2 linked regions of the Oreochromis niloticus genome follow. The protein of the gene in region 1 purifies or fractionates together with the protein of each later gene. This does not show direct contact. Links are inferred from orthologs where the notes say so. Each region holds a gene or a part of one and is shown in the gene's direction. Other genes may lie near its edges.

The links. The genes of interacting proteins can lie anywhere in the genome.
Region 2: the proteins of importin subunit alpha-1 (region 1) and phf10 purify together in Homo sapiens (co-immunoprecipitation; 3 studies listed by BioGRID and IntAct, with this or other methods). This does not show direct contact. The link is inferred for Oreochromis niloticus from reciprocal best matches to the Homo sapiens genes KPNA2 and PHF10.

The regions. Positions count from the first base shown.
Region 1 is NC_031971.2:28,190,697-28,194,449, reverse strand, and holds the start of importin subunit alpha-1, read left to right. Parts: upstream 1-1,165; 5' UTR 1,166-1,311; intron 1,312-1,322; exon of another isoform or gene 1,323-1,616; 5' UTR 1,617-1,664; coding exon 1,665-1,730; intron 1,731-1,829; coding exon 1,830-1,970; intron 1,971-2,418; coding exon 2,419-2,507; intron 2,508-3,010; coding exon 3,011-3,279; intron 3,280-3,678; coding exon 3,679-3,753.
Region 2 is NC_031965.2:25,545,853-25,549,605, reverse strand, and holds the start of phf10 (PHD finger protein 10), read left to right. Parts: upstream 1-1,419; 5' UTR 1,420-1,554; intron 1,555-1,677; 5' UTR 1,678-1,820; coding exon 1,821-1,901; intron 1,902-3,189; coding exon 3,190-3,299; intron 3,300-3,590; coding exon 3,591-3,721; intron 3,722-3,753. Other genes in the region: mucin-17-like, read right to left, coding at 1-1,153. UniProt on the Homo sapiens protein: Involved in transcription activity regulation by chromatin remodeling. Belongs to the neural progenitors-specific chromatin remodeling complex (npBAF complex) and is required for the proliferation of neural progenitors.

The DNA.
Region 1 (3,753 bases):
AAAGTGAAACTTTTCCTGGGATGTGGTTTCCAGTTGACTGTTTGAAGTTGCATTACTGGGCTTTTTAGTTATTTAATAATAAATAGCCTAGTTATATTAAATAGGTACTAATTAGGAACAAGAGCTAATAAGACTTTCTAAGTTAACATCCTTCCTCACTTAATTTAAATACAGTTTTTAGATCTGACTGATCCATGTGTATTCACTGCCCTCTGCTGAGCAGAAATAGAGACATCTGAAAACAGTGATGGCAGATGTGTTTTTTAATGTCTGATATGTTGGCTTATATTGTTAAATAGGCTGTAGTCAATAAGATATAAACAAATAACCTGTTTTGAATATATATATTTATGACTTTGTGTTATTCAGATATATTTACAGAGCAGTTAGCTGCTGCTATTTCTGTTGCCCTGTCGCCAATAAGACAGTGGTTTACTGCTCCTCATTGTCTCCAGGATGGTTGTGGCTGTGCTACAGACGGTTTAGATAGCCATAATATTGTGGTACAGGTTCTTTGAGGCCCTTTTTCATAGATCTGCTGTATGTTACCTGTAGAGAGATTTTTGTTCTTTTCATTTTTTTTTTTTTAACATTTTATATATATCAAATATAACTGTGCAGATCAACTGAATGGGTTTATGAACAAGGCACAAACCATAAAATGTTGAAAACAGCTTGTTACAGGATTCATCGCTGGTCATATGTTCAACCCAATGACTGTAAAAAATAAAAATAAAAAAATGTCTCGTTAGTATTATCACACAATGTACAACCGGATGTTCCAATGTTCCAATATTCTTGTTTCTGAATCTGTGAAAGAGCTCACAGTAGAACCCTGAAAAGGAAGCTAAATACGACCCAGATGGGACTCGAACCCACAATCCCCAGCTCCGGAGGCTGATGCCTTATCCATTAGGCCACTGGGTCATTACGTCGCACAGGTAGGGAAAATTCAGTCATGAAAATAGAAAATCGAATATGTAGTCAGTGGTATAATTCATTTAGTTGATAGTAAAAATTGCATGTATTTTTTATTTAAAAGAGGAATAATTAGCCATGATAAAATTTACAACCCAGCAATAGCATTTAGCACAAGAAGAACAAGCTACCGCACAGAAACGTTAACATGTTTTCTCGCGATACTGACAGCGGTTGCCTTTGACAACATATTTGTTGTTTGATGGTTTTTTCCTTAAACGTGACCAATGAGGCGGTGCTAAAAAATCCAACTGGCCAATTAAAAATCAGAAAAATTGGAACGTTGTTACGTGACGTTGTGCATATATTAAAAGAATACAAGAATTCTGAACGGTAAGCACGTTGTACATGCTATGTGGCTAATAGTGCATTTATTTGTTTTTTGTCTAATTGAAATTGCTATTGACCTTTTGTAATTGCTAATACAGCGTATAACCTTTGTTTTCTGAGCTTCAGCGGGTTTTTAGATTATTAGACAGACCCTATATCTGAAGGGCCACATGGTGTTAGATAACCGGCTTGGCTTCGAGATAACCGCCTGGTTAGCTAGCTCAGCGCCTGCTTACTAGTTGACACCTGAAACTAAAAGCAACCGTGGCTGCTGCCGCTTATTCTTTGTCGTTGTGAAATTATTACAGGTAGCGCCTGATTTTAGTGGAAGCGATTGTGTTGCTCAACGGTCAGGAATGTCAGCGGGCACGGACAACGGAGCGAGACTCAACCAGTTCAAAAATAAAGGAAAAGATGCTGATGTAAGCTCTGAACCTAGCAGTAAACGTCAGAGTTAATTCGGTATCCCAAATGCCCTGAATGCTGTGGTATATCTTTTATTTGTCTGTCGGTATGATCAGGAGCTGAGGCGCAGAAGAGCGGAAGTCAATGTGGAGCTGCGAAGAGCCAAGAAGGATGATCACATCCTCAAGAGGAGAAACGTCCACAGCCTTCTGGACGAACCAACGTCCCCTCTGCAAGAGAAAGACCCCAACGTAAGGGTAATCAGCAGCTCCTCTGTGTTTTGTTTGGCTGTGAGAGTAAAGGTGACCCACCTGATATAACCACAGCTGCTTAACTTGTTTGAAACATTGGATTATTACAGAAGTTAACTCGTTATAAACAGGATGTAACAGCCTCCAAATGAACACCTCTGCAGAGCATGCACACAGGAAGAAAAAAAGCTAAGCCTGCTCAATTTGCGAGCATTATCCAAAGGTCACTAAATCTTGGAGCAGGTGTCTGTCTGGTGATAACAGACTGTTGACTTTTTAAAAAGTTGTATCTCTGATAATTTATGAAAAGTCCATTTATAATTGATCTATGTTCCCCTGATTGAGTTACCATGACCTAAAAACATTCAAAGCAAGTTCCTCTAAATGTGTTATTTTTAGCTGCTCTGGTTTTATTGGCAGTAATCCCCTTTCATTTCTCTTTCTGTTTTCATAGCCTCCTCATCACTGGACTGTAGAGGAAATTGTCGGAGGTGTAAACAGCGAGAATTTAGATTATAAGCTGCAGGCAACGCAGGCAGCCAGGTAATACTTGTAATGTTAGGTTAATTGACTGTGTGTGGGTGTGGAAGTGTGAGACAGTTGCTCAGTGACAACCTCAAGCTGGAAGAAAAAAAAAGGTTGCGTAACGAGGCACTTGTGTTTTTGTAGTGTATTATAGTGTACATATTTTTTTTATCAGTGCAATTTGCACCACTCTGTTGCACACTCAGTTTTTTACTTTTTTAAACTTAACCTCATTTTTTTTTTTTTTTTTTAAATTGGTGTCGTATATATATGAAATGTTTGCGCTTTCTCCCAGTAAAAGGGGCTCACTATGGGCCTGTGGCACTTTAACTTTGTTTATTTGTTGTACACTGTACTATTCTTATTCTTTGTCCTCCTTCTGTAACACTCTCTATCTGCCTGTAGTTATATCACTGGTATTACTATATCAATGATATTAAGCAGTGTGAAAACTGATTTTCCTTTACTTTTAAGTTACTTCAATTTTAACAACGATCCAACTCTGTTTTTCTGATTCACAGAAGGCTACTTTCCAGAGAAAAACAGCCACCTATTGACAGCATCATTGCTGCTGGACTCATCCCAACGTTTGTTAGTTTTCTGGCGTTGTCTGAATGCCCCCCCATCCAATTTGAGGCAGCTTGGGCCCTGACTAACATTGCCTCAGGTACTTCAGACCAGACTTCTGCTGTAATAGATGGAGGGGCCATTCCAGCTTTCATCAGCCTGGTGACATCACCCCATCAGCACATCAGCGAACAGGCCATTTGGGCTCTGGGTAACATTGCAGGTACTGTGGCTCACAAAACTCAACCTCTTTCTTTGGATTTGATGTGATTTGATGTACTTCTGTGCATTACTACATCCTACACTGTTCCAGGTGTATGTTCTGATAGTTTTGATGTCAGGATGCGTTGTAGATTATTGTGGACAATTGTGCCCACTTTAGTTCATCTGGAGTTCCATTTAGCCTGTGATATTAAAGGCTTTAGAGTGCATTTCTGTATGTATACAGTAAAAAGTGTGTTGTTGCTGAGTCCCACTTTGGGTCCATTTTCCAAACGTGATTAAGCTAAAAACTAGAAGTCTGAAATTTTATCTTTGCTAACCTTGTGTAGTTTCAAAGTATCTGCCTTTATGTGCCTTTTTTCTGATTACTCTAAAGATGTTTTTTTCCCTCTATATTTAGGTGATGGGCCCAGTTCCAGAGACCTAGTGATCTCACATGGTGGTGTCCATTCACTCCTGGCTTTGCTGTCAGCCC
Region 2 (3,753 bases), on another chromosome or scaffold:
TGCCTTGCACCATGTGATGTTTAACTGGTAAAGTTTTCCTAGTGTTAACGTTCACAGTGGGTGCCTTTGATGGAATACGGGGGAGTGGCCTCTGTGCTAACATGGGTGACAAACCAGTAGGAATTACACCTGGACATTTGCTTCCTGGTCTTTTAGATAGATTGCTCAAATTTTGTTGGTTTGGGTGATTTTGGGTCCTTTTCCTGTCTGGCACCATGAGATTAACTGGTATATTTTTCCTAGTGTTAGTACTCACAGTGGATGCCTTTGATGGAATACGGGGGAGTGGCCTCTGTGCTACCATGGGCGACAAACCAGTTGGAATTACAGCTGGACATTTGCTTCCTGGTCTTTTAGATAGATTGCTCAGGTTTTGTTGGTTTGGGTGATTTTGGGTCCTTTTCCTGTCTGGCACCATGAGATTAACTGGTATATTTTTCCTAGTGTTAGTACTCACAGTGGGTGCCTTTGATGGAATACGGGGGAGTGGCCTCTGTGCTACCATGGGCGACAAACCAGTTGGAATTACAGCTGGACATTTGCTTCCTGGTCTTTTAGATAGATTGCTCAGGTTTTGTTGGTTTGGGTGATTTTGGGTCCTTTTCCTGTCTGGCACCATGAGATTAACTGGTATATGTTTCCTAGTGTTAGCACTCACAGTGGGTGCCTTTGATGGAATATCAGGGAGTGGCCTCCGTGCTAAAGTGGGCGACAAACCAGTAGAAATTACAACTGGACATTTGCTTCCTGGTCTTTTAGATAGATTGCTCAAGTTTTGTTGGTTTGGGTTATTTTGGGTCCGTTTCCTGTCTGGCACCATCCTAGTTTTAACGGTCACAGTGGCTGGCTTTGGTCCAGTACGGCAGGCTGGCTTCTGTGGTAACTTAGGCAAAGAACCAGTAGGAACTGCACAGAGACAGCTGCGTCCTACTCTTTTAGATTTATTCCTCATTTCTTCTTTTTTTTGGCCAGGGTTTGGTGTGACTTTTGGCAGGCATGTTTCTTCTTGCGTTCCCACATTTGAGAAATGATGTATCTCATATGTGACATAAGCCAGGCAAATGGTAGAAGTTTTACTGCTTTCACCAGATGCACTGGATTTTTCTGTCATTTCTATTCTGTTTTTTTCCTCACTTTCAGGCATTTTAGACATGTTTTCGTTGGGTGTTTTTCTTTTGTTTGTTTTTTTAAGTGGTTATTCTCTTGTGCTAAATTTTGCTTTAGTACAGATGTTCTGTGTAGAGCAAAGTAATATGTCTGTATAATTAAGGATCAGCTTCTATTTATGCCTTTCCACATTCTATGATCAAAGCCACATGCACCTGATGTCATGAGGCATGTTCCTTTGATCTTATCTTTCAACATTCTATGACAAAAGCCACATGCACCTGATGTCATCATGATGTTGGCCTGGGCAACCGCCCATGTCGCCCATATCAAAAACCGCTACTGTGTGGTTCAAAATTCGTTGCAGGTACTTTTTATGAGGGAATTCTTGGCCTATGTCAAAACTGGCCTAAACCACGTTGTCAAAGCATGACACGTGAACAGCATGTAAGGGTTAATATAACTAAAACTTGTTCAAACTTCTCATCAAACGTAGTTTTAATTTATGCAGATTGTAACGACCATGAATTTACTTTAACTGTCTATAATAATTAAAATTATACCACACAGTCCCAGTCCTGTCCTGAAGCCAGCCCTCCAGTCCAGCAGGTGTCGGCCATGTTTCAACGCTCGCCAACAGCCGCGAAACTTCTCAACGAAGAAGTAACGAGCTAGTATGCTAGCCTAGCTGCAGAAATCATTTAGCAAAAAATATGGCTGCTGTGCTCCCCGTCAGGCCGCCCTGCGATAGCAACCCCGCTACCCCCGGAGCACAATCCATAAAGGTGACATTTGTACGCCATAACAATATTAATAATACTAATAATAAAAACATGAGTCTCTGTTAGCTCAGTTCCCTCGGCTCTGCACGGCTATAGCCTGAGCTAATAGCTAACTGGCCATTTATGGGACACTTTAGTCCATGATTGACGATCAGTAGCCACATTAGCGTCACTCCTTTGTTTTCAGCTGTGTAGTAATTGGTTAGTTAGCTCGTTCGGTTTGAATTTCCTCGTTTTATGTATCTGCAGTGATCTGGTCTGTGTACTTTTTGAATGATCTAAGTAAAAACGCGACGTTTAATGTTGTAATATTATAAGTGATTTGACAATTTGTGCTCCTTCTGTCAGCCAGCTTTGGCGTGTAAACTCATACATTTGTTTTGGTCTGTATTTAGCACCATTATAAATTAACTCTACCGTCAATAATATTCAATAAAGCTTCGTGTTTATGTAAGAGGGGAAATATCCTTATCTGAAATAATTTTTTAGTGTGTTTCAAAATGAACCCTCTGTATTAAACCGGCTAAATCTCTAAATGTTTACTTTTGCAGTTGTTTAAAAAGTTTTCATCAGGCCGGGAAATACTATCATGTCTAAAATAGCAGTAGTGTGCACTGTGTGTGATTTTTATCTCATGCCTGAGGAGCATATACAGAAAAGCACACTCAGTTTAAATACACTCTGTGATTCATTTATAGTAAAAGTATGCACTGCTCAGCCATTAAGTGGGCCTGATTTGTGGATACAGCAAGCTAAACAGAGATGCCCAGACCTCTCTCTCCCCGGCCCCCTCTTCTATCTTTTCTTGGTGGGATTCTAAGATGTTACCAGGCCAGCTGAGAGAAGTAATCTTTCCAGCACATCCTGGGTCTTATCTTAAAATATGAAACAACTCATCTAGGAGGTCACATTAACATGGTGTCAACCAAGTAATCCTGGGAGCTTCTAGTGGGGTCTCTCAAGGCAAATTGGTCCTACGCGATGATAGAATGTAAACTCTGTCAGGAACCAAGTGGGTCAGATGGGCCCACCACTTGCAGAATCACATGTTAAAATTTGCTGTAGCAACAGGAAGATGAATCCTGCAATTATGAGTCCTAGGGTTCAGGTTTACCAAGCAAAAATTAATTTGGGCTCTATTCATTTCTGTGTCATGAAAGTGTCCAATACAAAATCAGAAAGCTCTTAAAAGTTTTGTGGATATACTTCATGCTCTGGAGTTTTCAAACATCACATTATGTAATGTTAATGTTAAAAATTAATGTTAAAAATTAATTCTGATTTTTCTTTTCCTCTGTAGGAGGATGTCATAGAAGAAGTGTCCAATGATGGCAGCCAACCTCCCAAGAGAAGGAGAATGGGCTCAGGGGACAGCTCTCGAAGCTGTGATACCTCAAGTCAAGATCTTGGGTAAGCTGGTTTAGCATTCAGCAAGAAACATCCACTGGCATAATTTTCAAGCATTCTTGACAACCAAGTAGGACAGAAAATTTGTTGTTACCATATGTCACATTCTTTTTTTATTTTACTATATCCCCAAAATATACTTGTATATGATAAACCCTAAAAGCTGTAACTGTCAGTATTGATGTCTATTTAGTTCTTCCAGTGGCGATTTTCTTGTCTATATCAGCTAAGATTAATCTCACAAAATCTTTTCCAATCATCAAACTCTGTTGTCCCTCCAACCTTCCTTTCCAGTCCGACGTATTTCCCAGCAGAAAACCTGACGGAATACAAATGGCCACCAGACGATACAGGAGAGTACTATATGCTGCAGGAGCAGGTCAGCGAGTATCTGGGAGTCACGTCGTTCAAGAGGAAGTATCCTGGTAAGAAGTGAGATTTTTTGTGTTTATCTGTT